Xenopus tropicalis: one gene and its partners. The protein of the gene in region 3 interacts with the protein of the main gene of each other region in a pairwise test. Links are inferred from orthologs where the notes say so. Each region holds a gene or a part of one and is shown on either strand. Other genes may lie near its edges.

Region 1 (10,131 bases), about 19 Mb from region 3:
TCATAAATGTTCAGTTTATAGGACTGATAACACCAAACTCTTAAAGAGTTTTATATACAGTTAAATAGTATGTATTGTCACTGTACACTGGTAAAAATAGTGTGTTTCCTTCATCAAAACAATTACTACATTTATGTAAATTGGCTATGGCCTACCCATGTGGCAGCCAATCAAGCTGAAACAGGGCTCTAGGGCATATGTCCCCCCTGCCTCTGCCGCAAAATAAGTATTAATGCAGACTTTTTAACATTGTATTTATTTCTGTAAATCTTGCGCTCAAAGGTGGCAATCGGCTGTGATTTTTTTTGCTATAAATCACCAAGTGAACAGATTGTTGCATTGCGTTAAAAGGATCAGGCAGTAAGTGGGTCATTAATGAATAAGTAATGAAAGAATTCTGTTTTTTTTATGAATTTAGCTATTAAATTAAATGCACAGATGACCAGATGTTATGCTTTTCTATGTGCTTTTTTTTATTTATTTTTTTGTCATTACTGTATTGGATAAAAAAAAAAATCTAAACTGTATTGCTGCTTATGCCAGTTTGACATATGTGGTTGCCCATGTGGTTTTGTACGTTGTTATTATATGTAGACAACTAATATTTTACCATGCCTCTATACCATGGCCAAGGATGCAGAGATCGGCAATAGTTAAAAGGGGACCTGTCACCCTAAGAAATAATTTCAAACTCTTAAGTCAAGCATAATAAACTTCACTTACACTATATAAATGATTTAAATCTTGTTTCCTCCATTCTTGGAGTTACACAACTACAGCAAGCAGGCAGGAGCCATTTTGTTAGTAAGGCAAGCTGTGCCAGAATGGGGGACCTGATGCCAATGCTTGCTACACAATAAGACAGTAAGGAGGGAGGGGGAAAGTGATTGGCTGCCCCACCTCTATACCTAAGGCATTTAGGCAGGGCAGGCAATATATGATTAATAGCTGGGATTTTTAAATGCCTCTATAATGGGTATGGATATGTTAATAAGAAAAGGAATTTGGGTTTCATGTTTAATTTGAACAGGACTTTTATTATACAGATTTTATTTCTGGGTGACAGGTCCCCTTTAAGTGGCTTTCAAGATTGTGGCTGTGATTTTTGGCGTGATGGTAATTCAAAATGATGTGCTTCAGAAGGGGTTCTGGGGACTAATGTAATTAAATACAGAACAAATGTACTCATTACACACTAAAGGAGCAGGGGGCTGGACTCAAGCAAGAGGTCATATTAGCCCGTGTTCTTGTATGCAGAGTGTGAGAGTGGTATGAGCACTCTGGAGAGGAAAGCAGGTCAAATATAGTGTGTTCCCCCTCATAAGTCAGTCAGCCTTGAAAATGGTATGATGTTAATTTTTAAGTTGTCTTTTCCTTTGTTAGTGGTTTTTGCAGAAGGGAGAATGTGATCAGTGACCGCTGTCCAGGTACAGGTATGGGACCCCTCATCTGGAAACCTGTTATCCAGAAAGATCCGAATTACAGAAACGCCGTCTCCCATAGACTCAATTATAAACTAAAATAACTCTAATTTTTTAAAACGATTTCCTTTTTCTCTGTAATAATAAAACAGTACCTTTTACTTGATCCCAACTAAGATAAAATTAATCATTAGAGGCAACACAAACGTATTGGGTTTATTTAATATTAAAATGATTTTTAGCAGACTTAAGTTATGGAGATCCAAATTACAGAAAGACCCCTTATCTGGAAACCCCCAGGTCCTGAGCATTCTGGATAACAGGTCCTATACCTGTACCTCAGGTGTGATGGAGGCATGCATATGTAATAACCATTCACAAAATAAATACATACAGATGTTAACTGAGATAGGGGGGCAGTATACCCCCTTTTTCAACATGAGTTGAACGAATAGTGTTTAACATACTCTTGCCTCTCTTTAGGAAATTTTTTTTTTATTTCTTGCACTAAAAAGACCTAACAGGCTTCAGCTTAGCTAATGGGGGACTGTTGATTTATTTTAATTGTGCTCCTCCATATCTGAAGTGAAATGTGACAGTGCTCTTCAATATAAAACATAAAATATAAAACATTTTCAAAAGGTTTGAAAATGTTTTTCCCGTTAATTAAATAGTCTATTACAATAAAAACTACACATCTTCAGAATAAAGGGCAATATACAAATTTAGCAATATACAGAGGACATTTATCTCCAAAATTAAGGCACGTTTTTTTATAAAGACTAAAGCTGGCCACATATGTGGCGATTTTCAAATTTTCATGCGACCATCAGTCACACGAAAGATTGTTCCAACCCCCCACTGACGTTCAGGGATGAATTGTCAGATATGGAGGTAGAAACAATAGGATTTCTACCTCCTTCTGTCGAATCAGCCCTCGAGGCAGATTTTACAATCTTTTAACCCGCCCGATCAGCGAGTCGACCGATATCAGCAGCCTTCTGTGATATCGGTCGGCTTGCCAAGTTGCCATAAACGCACCGAATATCGTACGAAACAAGGTTTCATATGATATTATCATTGTGTGTATGGCCAGCTTAAGTGTAAACCTTGGAAGATGTTTCCCTTCATTTTGTAGACTTTGAGATTAGCTTATTTGTTTATTTTCCCTATACTTTATGGAATTTGGCAACTCAGTAAGTAAACTGTTTTTGTTCTAATTCACAAGGGCAGGGTGGTGTTTTCTTTTTAATGTGAGTTTGCTCTTTATTTAAAATTTTAACCTGTTAATTGCAAGCAATATAAAAAAATATACTTAATGCTTTAATTAGAAAATATGCATTAAGGATGTCGTATTGGCCCAAGGGGCCGTGGCCCCCATGCCTAGAATTCTTGCACCAGTTCCTTGAAAAAAGGGGATATACTGCCCCTTTAAAGACCTCAGCAACCTGCTGAAACTAGACAATGTACTACTATAATCTCAAGGATGCTTATACAAAGCCATATGAATGTGCATCTCTTGAAATACATGCTGAATGTATCAACATATATTTCATGGTTTTTTTTTTGCTGCAAATAAATGGGTACTCCTGGGTGCATATAATCAAATGTCGAACATGTGAAAAATCATGTCTTAAGCGCCTATAGACCTACTATACCCTTTTAACAGATTGTTAAGCTGTCTGCTCTGTATAAGGTTATGAACTTGTTAGACCATTCTAATCTAACTGGGTCTTTGTTGTGTTTACAGCTGCATTACTCATTTGAACCTAACAAACATTAAAATTAAAACAATTGCACAAAATAAGCTAATGATAGATCTTATTTAAATTTCTTCTTAATTACTTAATAATCAGAAATATGTTGGCGTCTTTACTCAAACAGCACATTTACTAGGTCACTGCTAACTACATGCTTTTTAAATGTTCATTAGTATATTGTATATCGCTCTGCATTTATATCGCTTCATAAATAAATCTGTCTCTTATAGTGGTGCATGCCACAAATCTGTAGCAGGTGGCCAGCAGAAAAGGCTACTGTCCTGTATAACAAAGATTTTTTTTTTTTTAATTCTGGCATAAAATGGTCTTTGCTAAAGATTATAAAGGGACAGATTTTCATGTTGTTCTGGAATAAAATGTGTATCAATTTTACCAAGCCCTTTTTTTATTATTATCTGGCATTTTTGGCTGAGCTGAACATTTCCCACTTATCTTTTCCCCCTTTCACAGAAATTCATGTAGCTATTGTCCCTTGACTCAGCGTATTATGCTACTCATGTAGGAGCCTGAGAAACACCCCTCCAGCCTTTACACCAGCCCAGTCATTCCTCAAACTGCTGACTGATGCTGTGAGGGTGAGAGAGAAAAAAAGAAAAGACAAATCCCTTTGCAGCTTGCTGCTGCATCCCCATCCCACAATGCTTTGCCTCTTTTGCTGCAGTCTTTCAGTTCCAGCTTCCCAGAGAAAAGCCATGCACTAAATAAAGATTGATAGGTTTGAATTCTATCGAGGGACTCTAAAATAATCAATGACCCAGAATTCTGTTCCGGGTTTTTCACCTCTGTAGCTGATGAGAGAGCTGCAGCTGCCTATCTTTTTTTCTGCTACGTTTTCCCTGTGCGTCACTGCTGTACCAGGAATCAAGCATCAGCCACTGATACACGGCTGTTTGAGAATGGCTTTCACATGGAGGACTGCTTGCCCTGCCTCTCCCTGCAGTGTGCCTGGAAATCTTTACTAGCAAGGATGATGCTTTTCCCTGTGGGATTTTCTGTCTCTCGTTGCTACAATAGAATTTCAGCCCAGTATTTTTGCTGACTACATGGAATTGCCAACGACAATGGGTATGTATGCCGTGAATCAGGTGAGGCTGTGGTTTTGGCTGGTGTTATGAATTGGCATATGCACCTGCTAGGTTTCTCCTAATAATAGCGGGTTGCTTGGGGGTGAAGCAGCTGTGTGTTCTTGGGTAACAATACAGAATGGGTCCTCTTGTTCAGCCATGAGTGCGATTATTGTGTTTATTGTGGCCACTGCTGTTCCAAAAAGGTTGCAATTAAATGGTTAAATGTCCTTTATTTTTCATCTGAAAAAGAGAAACAAAAAAAGAAACCGATTCCCTTCCCACCCACTAAAACATCAGCTTTGTACTTGGCTGTGCTGGGATGTAATCACATTAGAAGCCTCTCCCATCACTGTCCATTATGAGATGAATGGAGATAGACGGCCCCTGGACTCAGCTGCTACATAGCTCTGTGATGTGCCTGGGTGGGGAGCAGATGGCAAGGCAAGCATTACTAGCTCTTGGCAGCCATGGCACATTCTATAATAACCTGGTGGGATTCCTTTGGGCACAGCATTTCTTACGTTATATTACATAACATTTTTTGTTGTATCAGCTGATGGATGCGTTTGGTTATAAGAGAAGCAGCCTGCACAGATTGAATGTTTCATGGGAAACCTGTCAAATCTGTGTGTAACTGAATAGCATGCGGTTTATCCGGTTCAGTTACTACTAAGAATGATTCCTCTTTTGAGTTACATGGTGTGAGTATTAAGGATGCACCAACTTTGTCATTTTTTGATTCGACCAAATGCTTCATGAAAGATACTACCAAATACCAAATCGAATCAGAATCCTTAAGGAATTGTATAATTCTTTTTTTTAACAAAAAAAAGTGATGAGCTTTAAAAGCTCTATATATTCTGGGGCAAGTTTATTGTTATTATTATTTATGATTAGTGTATGTCATGGAAGGGTTAACTTTCCATTAACCACCCTAAATTATATGGCAGAGGAAGGTAATGAGCCCTATCTATACTACCAGTATATAAATATTTGCCTGTTACGCCAAGGGCTGTATATGCCAACTAACCCATGATGCAGAAATATTTGCTTTGTTAATCCATGCTGTCATTGATGTCAGCAAAAACATTTTATTTTAAGAGTAAATTAATGGGGGAAGCTAGTATATTTTTGTTTAATAAAGTAGGAGACAGGGATAAAATGTGTATTTATCCTTGCATAACTCCTATCTGCTTAATTCCAGTGGAAAAAAAAAAAAATCATGACTGAGTTTTGCTTTCTGCCACTAATCCTGATAGTTCCAGTCACAGCAGGACATATCAGGCTTATTCTCTGAGTGACAGTAAAATAGGTACCGTATCCATAAATTTAGAGTTGTCCGGAACAGCATTATATTTCTATAACTGCTGTAAATTGCAAACAACTGAAAGAAATAGACATTATTTGTGTATATATGGTTTATATTTAGCCCTTTAATAAACCAGCTTGTACCTCCCATAGATATGTAACAGATGGACATGTTACTTTAGTAAAGTAGATTGCTTTTATCCCTCATCTGATTTTTGAGCGAACCTTGGCTTTTTTCTCCAACGTGGGTGTATTACAGCAAAAGCAATTTAACAGAATTGGTTTGAGACTTTTTTGTTATGAACTAAAAGATTAAAGATAAAACCTGCTTGGACCATTATGAGTGAAATTCTCATTGATGGGGAAATATTAGTTTTAGTTATAAACACAACTGTAAATTATATATTTGTAACTTAAGACATAAAGATCTGACCCTTAATGTAAACATTGGTTGATGGTATTGCCTCCTTGCCTCGAATACCCGACCCTAAAAATGTTCATGTTACTAATGCCACCTTGGCCCCTGCATGTGAGAATAATGAGACAATAATGTGACAAATGAGTAGATCATTTCTATTTGGCCATGATTTGGATAATATAATGTTTGCTTCACATATTGCATTTGTGTATCGCTCTGTTACTCAGTACTCTGGGAATTCAAAATTTAAAACGGTTATACTGATTTCACGAAATCCAAATATATTTCAGCCAGTCTTACCTTTTCCTGGTGATAATGCTCTTTGTACTAGTCTGGGTCCTAAAACAATAGATTCTTGACATCCCTACCAACTACATTGTACTAGTAATGTTAGTTGCCATGCTTCTAGCCTCACTAGTAACAGTCTCCTTGAAGGAGAAGGAAAGGGTTAAAAGTGCGACCCCATAACTAGAAAGGCCTCAGGTCCCTGTAGCTGATTGCTACCTTATTTTTACCTCGATAGCCTGTATATTGCCTGCACTCTCCGACTTTCATAAACACTATATTTCGCCTATTGCGGCCGCCATGTTGGATATTTAAATTAGTCCTACGTGGCGCCGCGTAAGGAAATGCGCATGCACAAATCTTCTCCCTCCCCCTAGACGCAAGCGTGACCTACTCTACCCTGCTTGTGTAATTCAAAGCGTGTTCACAGCATACTGTATGTTAAATGCGCATGCGCTTACTGAGTAGCTGGTCTGGGTCTCAGTACAGCAGCGAGGCATTACGTGAACTTTCTTTACACAGCTCAGCGTTTTTTCTTCCTGTTTGGCTTCTGATCATCTGAACAGGCAAAATATGGGGAGACTTAAGGGCACTATTGAGATAACTGAAGGTATGCCTGCAGCTTGAGATTAAGTCTTTACTAGCCTTTCCTTCTCCTTTAATTAAATATCACCCATAGGGTGAAGACACATGGAGCTACAAGAAGCAGCTGCTTGTCACGTTTACTAAAAGCCAGAAAATACTCTGCCATAGACAATACTGAGAATTGCCTCTGCTTAAGCTCATGTAGAGATAATTATCTGTAAATTATCAGCATTGATAATTTACTGCTAATTGTCTACGTGTGTTTTAGCAGAAGCAATTCTCTGTGTCTACGGCAGGGTATTTTCTGGTATTTAGTAGCCATGACGAGTAGCTGCTACTAAGTAGCTCTGTCTGTCTTCGCACATAGAGGCCACAAATAGATAGTAATGTATTGAAGCTCATGAAGCAGCAATATAACTGCACCATTCCTGAATTTAGACGCATATGTGAAGAGAAGGAGATTTATTGGAAAACCTGTATATCTGAAATGTATAAATTCTGCTGCTACTATTGTAGGTACTGTAGTAAGTTAGCTATTTCTGGGTTTGGCTGTTCTGTATTTCAGAATGCTAAAGGCTTTTGTTAAAATGTATGTAGCCCATTGACTGTCTTCTTTAAGGGCATACTTTAATTATTTTGTGTGTGTAACATGATTTGAAGAGCTTTCCTTAAATGATCAGAGCCAGTTTCTCTAAACTAGACTCCATTATACTGTGACTAATCGGGCACAGAAATTCCTTCCTTCCAGAACTGAATACAAAGAGAGCAAGTGCATTGCTGAGAATGCAAAAGAAAAGCCTATTTGATTCTGGGTCCTAGCCTGTGCATTAGTCTCTGAATTAACTCCTTATCACTCCTTAGTATTCAGACACTTTGTTTTAAGGTACTAAATATACCCTGTCGAAAATTAGGCTTAGTTATAGGGGTTTTTATATTGTATTGTCAAAACATTCTTGCAGTTCTGTTCAGCTGCTTGTTTAAAAATAGGAGAAGAATATGAGAAGGATGAGAGTGTAAAAGGGATGCAGAAGGGGAAGGTAAATACGTAAGGAAACCGTGTCAGAGAAGTGGATGAGAAGAAAACAGTGAGAATTTGGGAGAGTGGATACATTTGTGAAGAGAGAGGGTAAAAATGAGAGGGTAGAGAGAAGGGGGGAAATTATGAGAACTATAAAGCTTACCAGGAAAAGGTTGAGCAGATTGACTAGTGGATAAAACAAATAAAAAAATGGGGTGGGTGGGAGCAGAGTCGGACTGGCCCACCAGGATACCAGGAAAACTCCCAGTGGGAGTGCTTCTAACTATTTAGTCTATTTCATGGTCATTCCCTATTTCTGTATGGGAGCAAGGTAGATTAAGAGATGAAAGAATAGAGTATAGTATGTAGAGAAAAGAGACTAGGATAATAAAGAGTTTGAGGGAGGAGAAATCTAAAGTTTTGAGAGTAGGCCCATGGTCCAGCGTTTTCTGGTGGGCCCCTGCCATCTCAGTCTGACACTGGGTCGGAGAGACAATTGAAGAGAATTATAGAAATAGAAGAAAATATGGGAACATTGAAGCAACATGGGGGGGAAAAGGAGTAGAAACCTAGCAAAAAATTAAGAAAAACAAGGGAAGAAAAGAAAAAGTAGAAGAAAGAACAAAAGGAGTGAAGTAGATGTATTGAACAACAAAATTAAATTATAAGTACCATAAGTATATCTATGTTGATGTAGGTCTGTGCCCTGGGTTGTCTATCAGTGCCCCAGGTGACAGTTTACAGATGGAAGGAGAACAGTTTGATCACATTAGAAATGTAATCACTCTAATCTAATCCACTGGCTTGGTACAGCAGAGATAGGCAGGGTAAATGCATGTGGCTAACATTTTATACATTGTGTATGGTTTGTTTTTTTTTTCACTTTAAAACAGATTCTGCCTGCACAAGCTACACCAGTCATCTCATGCCACCTTGCTGCCAATCCCTCCCCATAAAGATACCTCCTGCACCTAACACTATATCACAATGTGTTGAGGTAGCTCACAGATGCTCCCCCGCATACATAGGTTAGGTAACTAGTGTCACGTAGCTAGTACAATAGGGAGTCACTGTTGTAAAAACAGGTCAGTGCCATTGGGATTATTTCTGAGCTAATGCGTTTCAGAATAATCAATATAAACAAAGGCTTAAAGGTCAGTCATATGCAATTTGCATTAAAAAAGCTCTAGATTTTTTATTGATTTTTTTTTTTTTTTCAAGAAATGGGATGTTTTAATATGTTGTCTGTATTGCTGTGAGATTTCCATGTGACTTATCTTAGGTGTTTGACTCCAGTAGTAGGACTGGCTACTTAACTATAACTGTCTTTACATAGTTATAATTTGGATATTCCATATACCGATTTGCATATAATTTTCACATTTACAACACAAGTCAATGTAAACAGAAACTGACAACAAGAGAGGTTGCCCTGAGCCTTGTTGTATACAGCCTACATTACTAAATATTAAATGGAGGGAAAATGGGATTAAATTATGCATACATTAATTTATTTGTTATTAACATTTATTTATAAAGTGGCAACATATTCCGCAGTGCTGTACAATAAGTTCTTGTCAATGCTTCATATCAGTGCTAGCTATGATTATGAGCATTCTGTCACAGTTGTCCTGGTTCCTATATGTTTATTTGACTGCAGCTTTTAGAACACTTGGTTATGTATTAAAAGGCACAACATTTGCCCAGAGTAGTAAACCACAGCAACCAATTGGCAGGAAGCAATTTTGGTCACCTGTTTAAAAGCAAACAACTTATTGGTTGCTATGAGTTACTGCTCCTGGGCAAACTTTGTGCCTTTTATTGCATATGGAAATTAGGGCAGTGCCACACATTCTTGGGCAGATTTACATTAAAATGAACATTTTTCAATTGTTATTGTTGCAAGTACAAGTCATGACAATTCTAGGTGCAAATCTATACCAAAATGGACCAATTTGTAAATGGAAAACAAATTTGCACATGGGTGGGGCATTCTCCACATTCACCTCAATTGTGCAGGATTTCACAGGTGCCAAACAGAATGGCCAGATGCATTGTGCAAATGAAATATTGAATTTAATGTGAATTTAATGGGAAGTGTGCATCAAAGAAAATACAGATGCAAGTGATTTTTCTGTCGCATTTTAACACATGCACTAAGGCAGAATTATTTGCTCTCATAAATATTGGGTGACACCATATTTAGCATTGCAGCCTTGCCAACTAAGACATTATCTGTATAGAGGTT
Region 2 (10,131 bases), on a different chromosome or scaffold from region 3:
TGTGCTGAAACCTGCACCTAAAACTTGCATCAAATGCAAAAAACACATCTGTGTGTAAGAGCCCTTAGACAGGCTCACTTTGACTAGCTACGGCACACAACAAAATGCAATAGTGTACATTTTAGGCTATCAACACACAGTGTTTCCCTTCCAGGTCCAATGGAAGCATCCTGTAGCAGGTAATTTTATTATCTCGTGCAAGTCAAACAGACCTATGTGCAAGTGCCCTATGTACTGTAATTCTTTGGCACCACAGTATCATGCTGCATTCCTGGGTCACAGTCCTTCTGGATTTTCATTTCCAGCAACAGGATTAGTTTTAGAGTTCCCACAATAGTTGCTGCCCCCTAAGACTTCAGACTTTAAGAAGCCAGAGCGAGTGCAAGAGCAACTAGTTATTCACAAACGGTGGCTGAAGTCACAATCCTGAAAACATTTTATAACTGAAATATACAGGGTGGGCCATTTATATGGATACTTAACATAATGGGAATCCATTCCCATTATGTTAAGGTGTATCCATATAAATGGCCCACCCTGTACAACTCATATAAAAAACATACTCCTCCTGCTCTGTTCTCTGGCTCTGGTCTCTGTCCCTGTGGTCTGGGAGGAGTCTTCAATCTTTCAAAGACAGGAAAGAAAAGTAAGAAATCAAAAGAATAAACATGGGCTTACATATATCATACATAGGTGTGCATTTATATAAAAATATACAAATATTTAGTTGTAGGTGTGCTTCCTATGGTATGTGGGGGCACTCAGAATCATACAATATACTAAACAATTCACGCTCATTCTGCCAACGCCTATTATTTAATTAATAAAATTGTCTATTTACATATCTCTCTCAATGCTTCAAAATTGAGAAACATGGAAATATTATAGGAAATAATAAAACATTTACTATAGTAAGTTATAGTAAATATTGGTTTAGTCCTTCTATATATGATGCTGGTCCTTTGTGAGAAGTTCTGTATGCACAATTACCTGCTGACAGGCCTGCTGTTTGACCAAATTTCTAGTATACCAACACAAATGCCATGACTGCTTCCCACTGACTAAAAGCTACACTATAGCTAAAAATTACTGGTGGTGCTTTCTGTTGTTAGCAATCATAGGCAGAGCACTTCATCTGATCACTGCAAACAAAATTCCTTATGGGCCTCATCCATATAATTTTATAGCCTTATAACATATTTGCTACCTTGGGTCCTTCTGGTTACTGTCTCCTCTGCCGTAAATAGGAATAACCTTCTCTCTGCTTATACCGGCCTTACAAACAGGGCATTCTTGGCGATCCGGTCGGGTCTCCAACCACTAGTAACAACAAAATAAGTCTTAGTTTTGGGCCAATAATTATATTGCAGTATGTGACACATTAACAAAAACTGACTGCAATGTCTGTTTAATGAACATTTTTATTAGCTAACATTACTTTTGATCATTCATAAAAAAAGACATATTAAACATAAATCACTAAGAAGTTATTACTTCTGACAAGGGTTAAAATGAAACCCCAACTAATTTTTCTCTACTGTGAGAGCACTGCAACTCATCCAGCCCTATTACTATCTTTTCTTACCATCTTTTCTTTCTCTCTCTAACTTCTGTTTTGAATTTCTGAATTTCCTTCTCTGCAGGTCCTGTTTACCCTATTCTTTATCACTTTTCCTCTCAACCAACATCAAGTGGGCATTTTGAATATACAGTAAAACCTTTCAGTTTTCAGGAATGTGTCACCATGACTATGTGAATCATGTCATTACTAATTGTTCATTTCCTAGGTTCATCCCAGCTCCCCCCAACCACAGAAGAACACCTTCTTACTAATGTGTTGAACCCTGACGCAGATATTACCAATGGCAGGGTTACTTTCCCATTACATAAGCTAAGTGCACCAAGACTCTGCAGCAGATTTAGACAAATTTGATTTGTCTAAACATAAACATGATACACCACAGTTAATAAAAGCTCTTCTACATGAACTGCTCCATACCTTATTAAAAGCTGAACCTGGCTTTGGATTCACAATGGCAAATATATGGAGATAGAGAGTGACAGCTGTTTTCAAACGTATTGTCTTTTTAACAAACTGTTAAGCAGGATGAAGGCTCTGGGTCAATCAGTTTTTTTTAAGTTTAAATAAGTCATATGATTAAAGGCTTCCCCTCTGTTCTGATCATTTAGAACACCAATTGTAATGTAAGGAAAGCCACAGGAAGTTTAGAAGCTGGTAATACCTATAAGGGCTCTGGTACACGGGGAAAATCGCAGAAAAAGCCTCGCGAGTCTTTTTCGCCGATTTGTGCGAAATCGCGCTGCCGCGTCTGCCATCCCGCCGGCGACTTACACGTACGCCGGTGGGATGGCAGGGGGAAGGCAACTCGGGGAGATTAGTCGCCCGCGAGCAGGGAGTTTTGTCGCGGGCGACTAATCTCCCCGTGTACCAGAGCCCTAAAAGATACACAAGCCTTTGCTTCCTGTGGGGCAAGTGTTTTATTTCACTTTTCATTTGACTACTGTAACCTGCTACTAACCGGCCTCCCTAACTCCAATCTCTCCCCCCTACAGTCTATATTAAATACTGCTGCCAGAATTCTCCTCCTCTCATCCAGGAGAGTTCAGGCCCTTCCCCTGCTAAAGTCCTTATCGTGGCTTCCTGTTAAACAAAGAATATCTTACAAACTCCTTCTCTTAAAGGAACAGTAACACCAAAAAATCAAAGTGTATAAAAGTAACTAAAATATAATGTGCTGTTGCCCTGCACTGGTAAAAGTTGTGTGTTTACTTCAGAAAGTCTACTATAATTTATATAAATAAGTTGCTATGTAGCCATGGAGGTAGCCATTCAAAGGAGAAAAGGCACAGGCACATAGCAGATAACAGATAAAACACTATTGTATTCCACAGAGCTTATCTGTTATCTGCTATGTAACCTGTGCCTTTTCTCCAGCTTGAATGGCTGCCCCCCATGGCTACACAGCAGCTTATTATATAAATTATAGTAGTGTTACTGTAGCAAACACACCAGTTTTACCAGTGCAGGGCAACAGTGCATTATATTTTTATTACTTTAAAGCTCTTTCATTTTTTGGTGTTACTGTTCCTTTAACCTTCAAAGCCCTCCATTCCTCTGCTCCTCACTACATCTCTTCCCTTGTGTCTCTGTATGTTCCTGGCCGACTCCTTCGTTCCTCACAGAGCGATCGTTTGGTTGCGCCCCCCACTACTACTGCTGTTTCCCGCCTTAAACTTTTCTGCCTTGCTGCCCCTTACATTTGGAATGCCCTCCCTGATTTCCTCCGAAGAGAATCCTCCCCCAGTCTTTTTAAAATTAAACTTAAAGACTACCTTTTGGAGCACTCACCCAGCACCTGATCTGGGAATCAGCACTTATATTGTAGTGTCACCCACTGTGACCTACAGCACTTATAGTGCATTTGCCTATTTGTGTCTGTAAGTTACCCTCCCATATAGATTGTAAGCTCTACGGGGACCTCCATCTTCTTGTGTCTTTGACTCTTAACTTATTGCAACTGTATTTATCTTGTATCTATCTGTATTTATTGTTGTACTTTGTATTTATCTATTATTTAATAATCCCCTGTTTGTATTAATGTATTGTACTGTACAGCGCTGCATACATAAGTAGCGCTTTATAAATTAAGATATACATACATACATACATACTTTTCACTATATGAACAGGTTGCAGTCAATATGCAAACGGTTTGAACTACTACAAACAAATAAAATACCCTTCATGTATACTACAGTAGTTTATCTATGTTATGCTTTTATTACAAATAAATATTTCTGTAACACTGAACATGTGATCTGAATGAAACCGTTAGCACTGCTAGCTGCTGCTGCTACAAAGCTAAAGAAGAATTTAACTCATTCTACTTTTTTATTAATAAATACATACCTGATGCAGACAAGGCCAGCTGTAAAACACAAACATAACATCAGAATACAGAACACAATGCAGTTTTAACGATCAGCGTTGTTATATAAACACACATACAGAAACTACAAGCAGTGGCATTTTACAAGCGTCTCTTCCATACAATACATATAAACAAAATCTGTTTACACTAACAAATCAGTGTTTATACTTTGGACACATTATCTGTTTAGCCTTGCGGTCGTTTGTGAAAAAATATTCATTTTAAACATATGAATCTGAACATACTTTGCGTTTTCTGGCTTAAGCCAAGTGAGTTTTAATGATATAATGAAATATGTAAAGCAAAATGCACTTTCTTTGGCTAAGACAAAAAACAATATTGTACCAGCTGTGCTTACAGGTTCTATTGGAATATTTGTGCTTAAAATGGCTGTGCTTGCAGATATAGCCTAGTTTATAATTCAATTGTAGAATTATGAAGACATTGATTTTCTAGAACAAGCATCAAAGGATCCTCTAATTGTCACCTTTAATTTCAAGCATCTACAGGGCACAGGCACATATGTACCAGCAATGTAGAATCTGCAGTTCCAGGGTTTCAGTTTAATCCAACAACACAAATCATGGCGTGGATCAAAGGGGCTCAATAAGTGAAAGGATTAATATATTCACTGTAAGATTGGGTTAAACATAGAAGATTGCAGGGTACAGTGAAAATACATCAAGAGAACCTGTTAAAATTTGCTTATAACAAGATTACAAAATGTCAAAGGGGAACTGATGCAAAAATAAAAATCAGCTTTATCTTAAGAAAATATGATTGGTCAAAAAATATATTTTGTACTATTTCTTTAATATTTAAGTTACTCTTCAGTCTGTTTTTTTTGTTCATGGAGTAGTCAGTGAGGACTAATTCATCATTGGGGATGCATTCCAATTGCCTAAAGGAAATCACTCTTTCAAAATAACCAACTCGCACACAATCTTGATCCTCTACATGAATTATTTGTGCTTAAGTCTGCTTTTATGAAAGAATTAACTCAAATACATCTTCTATGGCAGGCAATGGGAGCCCCACCCAATAGCTGTATTAAACATGATTGTCAATCATAATCAGACTCCTGCTTCAAGAAAAAAAAAAAAACAGAAAACATTGAAACAATGTAACAGTAAGGTCTCCATTTTTATTTTATTTTATTTTATTTTTTTAAATCATTGCAGACAATTTTCCTTTTTTCATTGCAAAAAAATAGTTTTTGTATGGAGGCAAATTTTAATACGTTTAGAAGGTTTGTTTTTCATGACATGCAACTTATATTGCATTTTAGTTACCCTTTAACATGCTGTAGCTACAGGTCACATGATATGGTTCTAAGAGCATTCAACACATTCCAACTAGTACTCTGGGCCTCATTCTTTCCCCTCATCCAATGCTTTGAGTCCTTTATAGGGGAACAGTTTCAGTTGGGGTGAAGCTTTCCTGAATATTTCGGTCTTGTACTTTACTGATAGCTTTCTGACCGTAGCCGAACCCCCTAACAATGCATTCCTACAGCAAACTAAATACATACCCACTGAAGGACACAGTCTCAGCAAAGCAGAATTAACAAGCTTAGCAGAGACCTGCCTACAGGGCAGACACATCACATTCCACTCACCAGTACAAATGCCCACACACGCTGACAACAGGTTCCCGCGCTGTCTCCAAGCAGATATTACACTCATAAGCCGCACCGGGGCTGCCAGCAGCCGCCGCCATGGCAACCGATCAACCGGAACCTAGCTGTGCAACTAGCGGAGCGTCACGGGAAAGGTTAAAGAGTGTATTGGACGCAAAGATAAACAAATCTTGTGTGTGATAGGGTGGACAAGTTCTCCATCACAATTATGCACCCCTATTGGCTATGCACTTTCTAGTTAGCTGTCAAGCAGTCAAAATGCTGATTGGTGATACTAGGATAATACGTGACATCGATTGGTTGTAACTCCCGTCACTCAAATGCTGACGACACCTCTTGTCTCGGATAACCGTTATGACGCGGCGTCTTGCGTTCGTGCGGGAGTGGAATACACGTTCCGGGCCCACAGGGTTTTTTTTTGTTGTAGGTTAAAAACTTTATTCCTTGTTAAAAGAAGGCAATAATGAACAATCCTTATTTGTAATCGGAGGTGAAGACTGTTATGGTAAAATTATTCGAGTAGAGTTACCAGCAGTGATACGTATTTTATAAACTACCGGATAACAATATATTTTATTGAAACTTGTGCAATATTATGCGATAGTTTCATAAGTGATGTGTTTAGAGGCCTGTCACCGGCAAAATCTGCAAGCAAACTTTGTATCTGTGCTATTAACGCTTAAGTACACACACATACTTCCACCCAGCCCTATATTATATTTATAGCTTTTACTTTGTAAACGGAAGATTCTGTTGGTTATATTTAGCATCGTTCAGACTGTAGGTCGGAAAACAAAATCGATGACTGGTTTTTTTTGGTGGGGGGAGGTGGTTTTCTATGTTTTTTCCTTTAGTGAATTTTCTTCCTACTAAAGGCAGTACTGATTCAAATTTATATATTATTATTTATTCTAAACCAGTTCTTGAAGCAACACCAAGCCTGACTTCCAGGCTAAATCTTAGTTCCCTGAGAACAAGTTTGATAAACCCTGATTAAGATATTTTAAATGTAAGTAATAGTAGTAAGAATGCAGGACAAAATGCCATATATTTAGTTCCTATAATTTTGTAGATGACAGTTTTTTGTTTTAATAACTATAGATACAATAAATGCATGTGTTTTCCTTTAGTAAGGTTACTGTATTACTGTAATAAATACATTTTTTGTTACTTAGAATCTGAAGATAAGTGGTTCCTGTATAATGAAACCATACAGAAACAACTCTTAAGGTGGCCATACACGGGCCGGTTGTAGCTGCCGATATCGGTCCCTTAGACCAATTCGGCAGCTTATCGGCCCGTGTAGGGGCAGGAACAACGGGCGACCTCACCAAGCGAGCGGATCTTAACATGTATGGTCACCTTTAGGGTAGTGGCACTTAGAGTCAGGCCAGGACTGGCAATCTGTGGATTCTGGCAAATGGCAGAAGAGCTGCTGCAAGGTGACAGACCATCGTTATCTATTGGGCTTTCTGGGAGCAGTTTGGGCGTCTCTGTAGTTTAAATTCCCATACATATTTTGAATTCCAGTCTGGACCTTATAGGAGTGCCACATTTAGAAGCAGGTCAAAAATGCAGCCCCAAAGTCAGGTATTGACACCCACCAATTTATATTTAATGACTGAATGGCTCTACTGCAAGCATGTGTCAAGCATTACAGAGTACGGCAAGTGGTGGGTGACCTTAGGCTATCTGTTGCCACAGTTATGGATTGCTTAAAAAAGCAGTGCAGAAAAACATGCTATTGCTTTTAGTGTAGTGGTACAAGGGTCAGGCTCTGTGCACTTTGTTTTTAAATAGACAAAAATGCTGCATCATAGTGCCTTAAAACTACAACTCATAGACTGGCATTGAAATTGTCTGAATTTTGCGCGCTCTTGTCAGGCAGTGGTTGTCTGAAAAAGCAACAAGTTTATCAAGTGATAATTTGACAAGCTCTGTCACAACATGGCATTAAAATGTGGCTCTCAAATAATCTTGTCTACCATTACCCTTAAAGTGTTGTGTTACTAATTATATAATTAATTAAGATAAGGCGATACACTTGGCAAAAAGCATTATGGTAGTTTGTGCTGCTGAACAAATGATACAAATTCTGGGTGAGAACTGAAATGGCCTTTGGCCTCATCAAGGTGTTAAAAACTCTATGTAGTTGGACAGAGTTCTGGCTATGTGCTGATCAACCTGCTGGGATCAGATTATTTTTTTTTTTTATTATCCTTTATTTATATAGTGCCAACACCTTTATACAGAGGTTTTCATAGACTCTATATCACTATACAGGCTACTGTCAAATGCCATATTTTTTCTGCAGGTGGGAAAAAATAAAATTTTGGCTCTATACTTCCCAGTGTTATGTACATTTTCTGACTGACCGTAAATAATAGGGGGGCAAATAGGGATTTTCTCTACCAGCATTTTTCTGCCTGGCAGAGAAAACAATGCCTGTGACAGTAGCCTTAAGACCCCTTTAATTTCACACCTAAAGTTAAATTATAGGTGTCAGATAACCTGCTTGACTGTGTTTAGAATGTGGGAGGACACCCACACAGAAAAAGGAAGAACTACAAGCTACTTTAACAGTGCTTTCTTCAGAAAAATCCAAGTGCTGCAGGGCAATAGTTCTAACCCCTGAGCCACAGCATAGTGCTTATTTTCCCCTGTCACTTTGCAAAATTCAGAACCATAGAGGTTAAAAAGTCTTACTGTATACACCCATAAAGGACACCGAGCAGCAGGGTGCAAGAAACGGAAAGCACTGCTGAAAGTCAGAATAAGAAATATCTAAAAATAAACTTATACATGAAAAAGATGCAGAGAAATTCACTGTAACAGAAGGACATTGGGCATTTAAAGGAACAGTAACACCAAAAAATGAAAGTGTATAAAAATAATTAATATATTATGTACTATTGCCCTGCACTGGTAAAAGTGTGTTTTTGCTTCATAAACACTACTACAGTTTATATAAATACCCTGGCTGTGTAGCCATGGGGGCAGCCATTTAAATTGAAAAAAGGAGAAAAGGCACAGGTTACTAAGTAGATAACAGATAAGTAGCATAGATTCCCATTGTATTCTACACAGTTATCTGTTATCTTCTTATGTAACCTGTGCCTTTTCTCCTTTTTTCAATTTAAATGGCTGCCCCCATGGCTACACAACAGCTATTTCTATTAACTACAGTAGTCTTTGTGAAGCAAACACACAACTTTTACCAGTGCAGGGCAACAGTACAATATATTTTAATTATATTAAAACATTTTTATTTTTTAGTGTTACTGTTCCTTTAATAGAAGAGATTTAGTTTAGACCAGAACAAGAGAACCAAAGACTACAGTAGCCAGAATGCACTGCATAGTCCGGATTTAAAACTACAAAGCCCACCATGCATTGCTGTAGCTCCTCCTTTCCTATTATGTTCTCCCTCTATATCTGCAGATTGAAGTGGGCATCTTACAGCTTCCTCTGTTTTCCCCCTCATCAGCAAACTGGATTCTTGCTTTTAATTGTTCTATGTGCCATCCCCCCTTCCCATACTGTGTTTTGCCTAACCGGTCCTGAAGCTCTCCTCTGAAACGTTATCCCTCTTCCTGTTCTTCCCTCCCCTTTCTCCCTTATTTGTCTCCCCACCCGTCCCTACTCTATTTCTCTACTTTCCTTTATCACTGTCTCTGTATTTGTTCCTATGTCCTCTTTGGTTTTTTTTTCTATTGTGTCTTGGTTATTTTTATCTACAGAAGCTCTTCTCATTCATCAGTACTGCCCTTTGTATTTCATTTTTGTATTTTTTTTATGGTATGTTCTGTTTGTGTTTTTCTTATAATCTGTTTTAAACTTTTGCCACCCCTTTTATCTGTTCCCCTGCACCAGTCAGTCTGATCCGCCTGTAACCCCTTCCAGCTGGCTTCTCTGTTGCTTAGTTTATTGCCTTTTTCTATTGCGTAGATTATTGTAAAATCTTCTATTGAACCTCAACTCCATAGTACTTAGTCTTGGGGAAGGGGGGGGGGGGGCTGAGGTGTGACTGACAGATCCCTTCTCCTATCATTTAGCACTGTGTTAATTATTACTATCTAGATTTGGGTAGTGTGGTTACATCAGCACCACAGAGGAAGTGAATGTGATGGAGAGGAGGAGGGCAGAAATCTAGAGGTAGTTATAGAAAACAGATGAAAGGCTATACAGAGTTAAGTGGAAAAGGGTGAAGCAAAGGATGGGGTGAATAATGTGAAACTAGGGGAGTTCAGGGATTTGGTATGCAGGGAACAAAATATATAATTTGCCTGTACTTTTAAGAATTAAGTATGCCTAGATGGGGAAGAAATTTGAACTGGAACGGAATGTATATGGGAGCAATGATGAGGAGAGGCAAAATATGTTAGAATCCTCTGTAAGGAAAGTGAGGAAATAAAGGGAAAATAACAGTGGGTAAAAGAAAGAAAACTGGCAGAGGGTGGGATAATGCACTGAAGGCAAAGCCGAATAAGTGAGAGTGTGAAAGAGGAGGGGATTGTGTGTACCAGAGGAGGGGGGAGG
Region 3 (10,131 bases):
CAGATAAGCTTTTTAGAATATAATGGGGTTTTATTTGTTATCTGCTAAGTAACCTGTGCCTTTTCTCCTGTAAGGGCTCTGGCACACGGGGAGATTAGTCGCCCGCGGCAAAACTCCTTGTTCGCGGGCGACTAATCTCCCCGAGTTGCCTTCCCCCTGCCATCCCACCGGCGAACATGTAAGTCACCGGCGGGATGGCAGACGCGGCGGCGCGATTTGCGCAAAATCGCGCAACCTGAACCATGACAACAGCAGCAAGTTCAGAAGGACGACAAAACTCCCTATTCGCGGGCGACTAATCTCCCCGAGTTGCCTTCACCTGCCATCCCACCGGCGAAAATGTAAGTCGCCAGTGGGATGGCACACGCGGCGGCGCGATTTTGCGCAAATCGACGAAAAAGCCTCGCAAGTCTTTTTCGGCGATTTCCCGAAATTCCCGCCGCGTGTGCCATGCCACTGGGATGGCAGGTGAAGGCAACTCGGGGAGATTAGTCGCCCGCAAACAGGGAGTTTTGTTGCGGGTGACTAATCTCCCCGTGTGCCAGAGCCCTTAGGAAAACACACCAGTTGTACCAGTACAGGGCAGCATTACATTATATAGTAATTACTTTTATACACTTTCATTTTTTGGTGTTACTGTCCCTTTAAGGCAGCTGTATCTGGGCCGACAAGACATAGTATTGGAATTAACCCATGGTAGAAACAGATAGATTGCCTGCAACCTGAACCACGACAACAGCAGCAAGTTCAGAAGGATTGTCGCTCCTTATCGGTTAATGCTCCATCCATTTACTTTGGATAAGGTGCATCAGAATATTATCAAACAGGGCCAATTCCTGAAGCAACAGTTACCCCCAGTACATAGATATTGGTTTGGATCAGTGGGCTTCCATATAAATACCAAATACAAGATGCTTGCTACTCTATTAAATTACTTAAAATCAGGCAGTTATGAAACAGATTCTCTGGTTCGGGAGTCAATATGTTAGAGCCATGCTAAACAAAGACAGTTTTGCCAGTGCCAAGTGCAAGTTTAGGAAGACAGCAGGAGCTGAATGTGTGGCTAAAGTCTTCATGTAGGAAGGAAGGGTTTGGGTTCCTAGAGCACTGGGCTGACTTTTACTTAGGGTACAATCTCTATAGCCCTGAAGGGTTGCAACCTCAATGGAAGGGGGTCTGCTGTGCTAGGGGAGAGAATGGCTAAGAGGCTGGAGGAGTGTTTAAACTAAGCAAGGGGGGAAAGCTAGTGCAGACCTGACAGTGGGATTAGCAAGGCATTATGGGAGAGAAGTGAGGGGGGCATACAGTTTACCAGCTAAGGAGATCCCTCTGTTACAAAGAAAACAGCCTAACTGTAAACTTAGCACTAACTCTCCGTTAACCAATATAAACATCATAGGGAAAAGTAGTAACCGCCACTGTATGCTGCCAAATGCACAGAGCTTGTCAGGGAAATTAGGGGAGCCTTAGTGCATTGTGCCTGAGTCTGAGCTTTCAGAAGGAGCCAGCACTACACATTAGACCTGCTTTCAGGTAACCTATTGTTTCTCCTACTCCTATGTAACTGGATCAGTCCCAAGCTGGACTTGGATTTCTTACTGTGATTTTCTGATATCTATTGGGAACTGCTATGCTCCCTTCCCATTGTTGCTGCTGGGAGGGGGGTGATAACACTCCAACCTGCAGCACAGCAGTAAAGTGTGAATGAAGTTTATCAGAGCACAGGTCACATGGCTGTGGCACCCTGGGAAATGAAGAATATGGCTAGCCCCATGTGAAATTTCAAAATTAAATATAAAAAAAGAAAATCTGTTTATGCTTTTGAAAAACAGATTTCAATGCAGGATTCTGCTGGAGAAGGGTTATTTACTCCCATGAGTTAATTCCTTTAAGGGAGTGATAAGGAGGTATTTTCCAGCTTATCTGGAATGAAAGTGCAGACGTCTCACAGTTTATCTAGTCTCCATCTTACCATATTCCATGTGACACACCTTGCATTACTAAGCACCAGGCAGGTCATTGCAGCTACCCATAAATCAGCAGCTCACCGGCAACCATCCAATCACTAAGGGTATATCTTAAACAAACATCTGTGATCTAAAAACAAACATTTTTATAGCTCTGCCTGTGTAAAACAATTATTCATTCCTACACCAGAGATGCTCCATAAAAAAAGCCATTGCTTGGTAAAACCAAGATAATATGGCCATCACAGATAATTTAAATTTGAGAGAGATCAGCCCTTCTAAATGACTCCCAGGGCATAGGCACACAAACTTGGCTATACAGGCCTAGCTATACTCTATACTATGGGAATGTATAAATATATTCCTACATTAAACTAACTTTGAAGTTAAGGCCTTTACCAACTTAGAGATTCAACTATAATCTTTGGGCTCTCAAATCTTTTTATATTGTTAGCCAGCGTTTTGAGTGTCAACGACACTGTACATGCTCAGTGTGCTTTAAGCTTCTGTTGAGAAGCTACAATAAGGAGTTGCCAAACTATTAGTAGAAAGATATTTAACATCCGTCATAGATACTTATACTACATCTATCAAATCAATTCTGCTGCAGAACGCACTGGTTTCTATCCAGCCACATAATGTGAATAAGAATTACTAATTATCTGTAAATTTTAAATATACAGAATATTGCGAGTTGTTTCTTAAACTCAGGTAACAGACAGCAGCCCAAAGCATGTGCTATGATTCAGCAGAAATGAAATACAAAATATAAGATGTATCATTTCCAGTCTAACTCATTGTTGAGCTTCAGTTCTCCTTAAACATATGGTGAATGCCTGTAGGAGGGTATGTAATAAAGAGGGACTTACACTTTACTTAGAAATAAATAAATTCCCCCCTCTTTCTTTATTTCCTAACTAACCAATCCACAGAATTGCGACTATCTGCATAACCTGATAAAAAATATAAATAAAGAGTTAAAAAATAAATAAAATTACTTTAGAGTGTTATTCCCCTTTTAATAATTTACCAAATTCCAATAAATACACCAACAATAAAGAAAATGAAAATAAAATAAGGGGATATATTTTTCTACTAAGAAGTCAAGACAGCTTTTGTGGCTGCTTGTAGCCATAGCTGGACTTATCTATTTGCACAACTTGAGCAGACCCTCGTCAAAAAAAAAAGCAATGTGTATTACTAAATATCACTTAGTATCACTGAGATATTATGTGCATTCTAATCCAACTAGCTGCACCAGGTTCAGCCTAATAAAAGGTTCAGAATTTAAGGTGTCCATACATAGGGCAAATACTGGCTGCGATTCTTGATTGAGTCAGCAGGCTACTGACCCATCTGGCAGATCAAATACATTAGCCCTATGTCCAGGGCTAGGAGCTTCTGCTGCTCATGGAGAAAGTAAAATTGCAGAAATGACCACTAAAAACCTCTGGTGAACACTGCAGCTTAAGCTAAGTGAAGACAAACGGGGTGTAGTGCTGCATGTTATGATACTTTCTAAAAATCTTTTGTGGCCCTTGCTTAACCTAAAATAAATGGAGGACAAAGAAGAAATAAGCAATTACTTTATAACATTAGAAAATGTGTATTTCTTAATATGGTGAGCGATATTACTAATCCTAATTTGTAACTGCAACAATTTTTAGATGCAGCTTCTCAATGAATGGGCAGCACGCTGTCTCAAATGAAAGTTTCTCCATAAAGTGGCAGGAGGATATGCGGCAATGCCAGCCTTTGATCTAGCGCACACGAGAAAGTTACAGTTAACAAATTTGCACTCCACTGTTTCACAGAGTTACCCAGTGATTATGACCAGAAGCCACATATTTACCAAAGATTGAATCTAGAAGTCATCATAGTCTGCAAGAGTGAAATTCTGCTACTCTTTATACATTAATATGAAACTTTAGAGGGTATATTTATCAATACATATAAATGAGTTTACACTTTGATAAATATGTTTTCACTAATTGAATAGAAATTAATATAATGAGGGAAATTTCACTGTGGCTGACTATGGCAAGCTGTAGTTTAATACTTTGATAAATATCCCCCTTTGATTTCATTTCTGAAGTTTCACTGAATGGATTTCAAGGGCCATTAATAAGGAGAGAAAAAGTTGGAAGGGAGAGCCAGAGGGAACTGCAGTCTTTTCTACACAACTGTCCTACTTTTCCATGTCTCTAATACAATCCTTTAGTACCTTCTACATGACTCTAAACACTTCTGCAGCCCCACTCTATGGCAGTCTCTAATAAACTCCTGTCAAATCGTTCCAAGGCAGTCCCTAATACACTCCCATAAAAAAAACTCCATGGCAGCCCGTGATACACTCATGTCAAACCTATCCCTATCAATCTCTAACATACTTTTGTAGTAGTGATGAGCGGGTTGACCCACAACCTGCATTTTACCCTTAGGTCAGGCAGGTTAGGGTTGGGGGGTGTTGTGGGTTCAGGTTGGGTGTGGGTCAGACTAGGGAAGCACCTCTGCTCCTGAACTTTCCCTTCCTTGGAACCTAAGGCGAGAGCAGCAAACAATGTAGAAAGACGCAAGTACGTGTTTTAAATGCAAATCCTATATCGGCAACAATTTGTGGGATACGGTCAGTTGCAGGTTGACTTTTTCCTGACCCCCACACCACTATCTTGTAGTCTCTTCTGCAGTCCCTTTCCATGGCAGTCTCTACACAATCCTGTAGTCTCTTGATGGCAGTTTCCAATTCACTCCTATAGTACCTTTCCACGGCAGTCTCTAATACACTTCTGTAATTCTCCTCCAAAGCAGTCTCTAATACACTTCTGCAGTCCCTCTCCAAGGCAGTCCCTAATACACTTCTGCAGTCCGTCTCCAAGGCAGTCCCTAATACACTTCTGCAGTCCGTCTCCAAGGCAGTCCCTAATACACTTCTGCAGTCCCTCTCCAAGGCAGTCCCTAATACACTTCTGCAGTCCCTCTCCAAGGCAGTCCCTAATACACTTCTGCAGTCCCTCTCCAAGGCAGTCCCTAATACACTTCTGCAGTCCCTCTCCAAGGCAGTCCCTAATACACTTCTGCAGTCCGTCTCCAAGGCAGTCTCTAATACACTTCTGCAGTCCCTCTCCAAGGCAGTCCCTAATACACTTCTGCAGTCCGTCTCCAAGGCAGTCTCTAATACACTTCTGCAGTCCCTCTCCAAGGCAGTCTCTAATACACTTCTGCAGTCCCTCTCCAAGGCAGTCCCTAATACACTTCTGCAGTCCGTCTCCAAGGCAGTCTCTAATACACTTCTGCAGTCCCTCTCCAAGGCAGTCTCTAATACACTTCTGCAGTCCCTCTCCAAGGCAGTCTCTAATACACTTCTGCAGTCCCTCTCCAAGGCAGTCTCTAATACACTTCTGCAGTCCCTCTCCAAGGCAGTCTCTAATACAGTCAAGTAGTCCCTCTCCCTATCAGTCTCTAATACACTCCAATAGTCCCTCCCCATGGCATGCCTGGCTGTGGCAGCCTTCTATACTACCTCTTTAGAGCAGTTTACTGGATTTATCTTAAGCACACTGTCACCAATTGTTGCCCCTCATTGTATATAGCCAGACGCACTTCTGTCTCCTCTCACCTCTTCGCTTTTGAGCACCTCCTTGAACTCCCTTTTGATCCTCTGTGCTGCGATGTTCGCCATAATTGCCCCAGTTTCCGTACTTGACTGAGTCACCTTAAATTGCTGCAGTGCACGTTAAGTACGCCAGGCTTCCTCCCTCCGTGCAGTGCCGGCCCTGTGTGCTCTGCCTCCCCCGCCCCGCACAACGAAACCTAGCACAACAGTACACTGCAAAATGGCGAACCTGACACATGCGCAATACAAGAGTCTGGGCGGCCCACAGGAAGAACTTCCTGACAGGGTCCCTGCTCACGTCACTTTGGCCCGCCCCACAAATGAGACGTAACAGCGCGCCACAGAATCCCCGGGCTCCATTCATGCAGGGCTCAGTCACGTGATGTGTCACTGGACCCCAGCGCTAAACAGAAGAGTCGTGCAGTGTTGTAAAGTTTGGCTTTAGCAGCAGATTTCTATGAAACCAAAGGTCGTAGCCTGCCAGAGCTATGCAATTCTTATTAGAGGATGGGCTGACTACCTGCCCCTAGTAAGCATTTGTCTCAGCAAAATAGATATGCCACAACATGCATTAGTCACCTGACTCGTATTGGAAATCCAGAAGTTCCTGCTTAGTCTGCTGTATGGGAACTTTTTGTTCTCTTCCTTTTCAAAAGTCCTATGACTGGTCATGACCTACATCTGTTATCTAGAAAAAAAATAAAGCAGGGGCATAACTACAAAGGAGGCAGACCATGTGGTTGCAGGGGGGCCCTGGAGTGTAGAGGGCCCAGTAAGGGCCATGACACATAGGGAGATTAGTTGCACCACAACAAATGCCATCCCGTGGCATACACGGCACTGCGATATGCCGAAGTCACCGACATTTCCTCTCAAGGCGACTTTGGCAAATGGCGGCGCTGCGTATGCCATCCTACCGCTGATTTACATTGTAGCCGGTGGGATGGCATTGCGGGGAGATTAGTCGCCCGCAACAACAGAGATTTGTCATGGCAGCTCTAATCTCCCTGTATGTCACGGCCCTGAATAGTGAGCAGTTTTACTATATCTTGATAGGATAGGTCAATTTACCAACGATTTGGGCCCCTAAATTGAATTCTTTTGGGACAAGTGACATCTATTCATGCCACTGGTTGTGTGCATTTTCCTAAGCAGAGATGCTATCTGGATAATATAGCAAAGGCCAGCCAGTTAAATGATACATGCCACTACAGTTATTAAAGGACAAGGAAAGGCTAATACCTTGGGTGGTGCCAGTTACTTAAAATAAATGCACCACCAGAGATACCTTGTGCCTCGATTTGAATTCTATATCTGTATATCCATAGTTCAGTTAATTTTCTGGCTTAAAGGGGTGCTGCTCATCCCAAAAGAAATTACCTTTAAATAGTAACACCTTTTACAATGTGTCATTATGGCTTAATTTTGGCGGAAAATTAAAAGCCACCATTCTTAATTTAAAAGGTATTTTCAAATGCTTTAGAGACTTGGGACTGATTATGTGACATAAAGTCTTTATGATACCATAGCGGTCATTCTTGACCCCAGGGGACAAAGTGCAAGAGCACTAAAGGGCGCAAGAGTGGCTTTAGAGAAGCCTTTCTTCAATCATTATGTTCTGTACTTACTTGTAAATTTATAAGTGTCTTACATATACTGTTTTTATCAGTACTATAAATATTTGATTGGTATATTTTAATTGATAAAGAATAAATTCTGTTTGTGCAGATTCACCCAAAGGCACCCCTGATTCGGATGGATTCGGTTCTCAAGCTAGCCTTAGTTATGTCAACTATGGCCTTTAAGACAGAACCACCTCAAACAACTTTCGGTATCTGAAATTTCCATAACATAATGTACCGAGGAGCCTATCGTCCATGAGCATTTATACTTTTAATTTTAGGGTGATTTTGATATGATGCAAAAAAGATCTTGTATTTAATTGATTGAGAGAGTCTGTTAGATCTTAACAATGTATTTTAATTATTGTTAGGATAAAAGATCATGTGAACAGCCATATCACCTAATTAATCATATTTATCGTTTTCGTAAGGTAATTCTCAGTTAAAATCCATAACCCCCAACTGAGTCATTGGGGCCGATTTACTAATCCACGAACGGATTGAAAGCACCCGAATGCGTAATAATTGTGTAGCATACCTCCCAACATTTTGAAAATGGAAAGAGGGACAAAAATAAATGCCGTACGCAGTGTGGCGAATTTTGTTGGACATGCCCATTTTTTTGCGACCACATCCCCTAAATACCACTCCGATTTGAGTAAATTTGGCAGGTTATTTAAAGTTTGAACACATTTCTGGGGGGTTTGGGGTCCTGTTTTATGTGTTATTACAGTTTTGTTAAAAAAAAGTGATATTGCCCTTTAAGCTGCAAGTCTCAGTTCCCCTAAGAGACCTGTTTAGCTTATTAGTTACAATTGTATCTCAGTGCAGGGGGGGCTTTTTACCTTTCTGGGCTCTCTGCCAAAAGCCCACTTATTAAATTAATAAAACAATGTTTCTAAGTGCAGGTGACGCTTGTTAAGATTTCTGGGCTCTCAAAAAACTACTTTTAATTAAATTTGTATCTTTTTTAGCTTCAGTGCAGGAGATCAAAGGGAAATAAGGGACTTTTCGCCTGATTCCAGACAGGCTTGCCGAGACTATGCCCAGCTACTCTACATTTACCCTACCTGTGCCTGCACCCAAATGAATGAAATATGCTCGGGTGCAGGCACATGTAGGCGATATCCGCCAAAAAACGCAAGACTTTGTATCTTCAGCAGATATCGGCTACATGTGCCTGCACCCGAGCGTATTTCATTCATTCGGGTGTAGGCACAGGTAGGGGCGTATGGCGGAATTTTCGGCAAGCGGTTTTCGGTTTTCCGAAAATATACGCCATACGCTCACTGTGGCATCAGCCCTCAGTAAGAATCTGGGACTGCGGGTTGAGCTGTCAAAAGAGGAACTGACCCGCGAAAATCGGGACAGTTAGTTAGGTATGGCGTAGCTTGAATAATCTAGCGATTTACGCTATTATATATTTGAATCTAGTTTTTTTTCCATAATTCATTTTTTAAGAAATTTTACAAGTCACTGGTTCTGTTACACAGATTTTATACATTTAGGGCTCTGGCCCGCGAACAGGGAGTTTTGCCGCGGGCGACTAATCTCCCCATGTGCCAGAGCCCTAAATGTAAGTCGCCGGTGGCATGGCACACGCGGCGGCGCGATTTCACGCAAATCGTCTTTTTCCGCGATTTCCCGAAATTCCCGCCGCGTGTGCCATGCCACCGGTGACTTACATTTAGGGCTCTGGCACATGGGGAGATTAGTTGCCCGCGGCAAAACTCCCTGTTCGCGGGCGACTAATCTCCCTGAGTTGCCTACCCCTGCTATCCCACCGGCGACTTACATGTTCGCCGGTGGGATGGCAGGGGTAGGAAACTCCCCGTGTGCCAGAGCCCTTAAGAGACAAAATGCATTGTACCACACTGCTTTGTGGGTGACTTGCTGGCACACTGTAGCCCCTTATATTCATGCACAAGCAGCTCCTTTTTGTAAAGACGTGGCAGGCCCAGACTGAAAATCTTTATATTCTGGAAAATGCCAAGAGTAGCTACTGTAAGATGTGAATCTCAGTCCACACATAAACTGCAGACACACTGAGTAATTGGTCAGTACAGAGCCAGGCCTTTTATCAGTCACCACAATATAAAGATCATGTGGTGGAGCCATTAGGACCATTCCTCCAATGATAGTACAGAAGCCTTGATGCTATTATTAATCAAAAAGTTTTGTCAATATGTACTAATTGCTGCATTTAGAATAGATTGCAGATGGAAGTTAAGTTAGCTCACACTGGGAAGTTGCTTAAAAATTGAGTAACTGTGTGTATCTGGAAGTGCAAAGACCAAAGAGTTGAAATTCACGAATCTGTGTGCTAGCGACCAGTATACTATGAATTGCTTGCCTGAAGAAATAGTCCACCTTGGAAGTTACTTTTAGTATGATAGTTGAAGAAGTTAACAATTGGTCTTTTTTTAGTCTTTGTGGTAAATATTTAACCTTTTGTTCTACAATTTTCTAGTTTGAATTTAAACTTTTATCTGGTTTCTTGGGTCGCAAATACCCTTGATGTTTGGTTTAAAAAAATAAATCAACTAAATCAAAATTTAGTTTCTGGATTATGCTGTGTTCTACTCAACAGGGTCAGTTATGCTCACGCCCCCAACAACCAAAAATGTAAGGTAGAGAAATGCTAAATTAAAAGACATATGGTTTAGAAACTATAGGAGAAAAACATAGCTATCTAAATTATTCTGAAATTAAATTTTAAGGCTGATGTTGCATGTAGTGCTGACAGAACCCCCCCCCCACCCATTATGCCTGACATGAATAGAAAACACTAAACTGTGCATTTCTGTGTCAAAAACGTCCTGTCATGAGCTTAGGTCAATGACAAGAGGCAGAGGGTTTGTATCTCCATGGCGAAAATGCACTGGTAGAGAAAAACTATTTGTGTCTTTAGCATAAAAACAAAGCACAA

What was found.
Region 1: the proteins of ube2k (region 3) and trim2 interact in binary tests that used the Homo sapiens proteins (3 or more experiments, as listed by UniProt). The link is inferred for Xenopus tropicalis from reciprocal best matches to the Homo sapiens genes UBE2K and TRIM2.
Region 2: the proteins of ube2k (region 3) and rnf5 interact in binary tests that used the Homo sapiens proteins (3 or more experiments, as listed by UniProt). The link is inferred for Xenopus tropicalis from reciprocal best matches to the Homo sapiens genes UBE2K and RNF5.

The regions. Positions count from the first base shown.
Region 1 is NC_030677.2:55,158,901-55,169,031, reverse strand, and holds the start of trim2 (tripartite motif-containing protein 2), read left to right. Parts: upstream 1-3,973; 5' UTR 3,974-4,267; intron 4,268-10,131. UniProt on the Homo sapiens protein: UBE2D1-dependent E3 ubiquitin-protein ligase that mediates the ubiquitination of NEFL and of phosphorylated BCL2L11. Plays a neuroprotective function. May play a role in neuronal rapid ischemic tolerance.
Region 2 is NC_030684.2:73,544,331-73,554,461, forward strand, and holds the start of rnf5 (E3 ubiquitin-protein ligase RNF5), read right to left. Parts: upstream 5,686-10,131; 5' UTR 5,673-5,685; coding exon 5,572-5,672; intron 3,951-5,571; coding exon 3,932-3,950; intron 1,321-3,931; coding exon 1,208-1,320; intron 625-1,207; coding exon 564-624; intron 1-563. Other genes in the region: agpat1 (1-acyl-sn-glycerol-3-phosphate acyltransferase alpha), read left to right, coding at 5,913-6,015. UniProt on the Homo sapiens protein: Membrane-bound E3 ubiquitin-protein ligase that mediates ubiquitination of target proteins. May function together with E2 ubiquitin-conjugating enzymes UBE2D1/UBCH5A and UBE2D2/UBC4.
Region 3 is NC_030677.2:36,217,703-36,227,833, reverse strand, and holds the start of ube2k (ubiquitin-conjugating enzyme E2 K), read right to left. Parts: upstream 5,758-10,131; 5' UTR 5,647-5,757; coding exon 5,584-5,646; intron 1-5,583. UniProt on the Homo sapiens protein: Accepts ubiquitin from the E1 complex and catalyzes its covalent attachment to other proteins. In vitro, in the presence or in the absence of BRCA1-BARD1 E3 ubiquitin-protein ligase complex, catalyzes the synthesis of 'Lys-48'-linked polyubiquitin chains.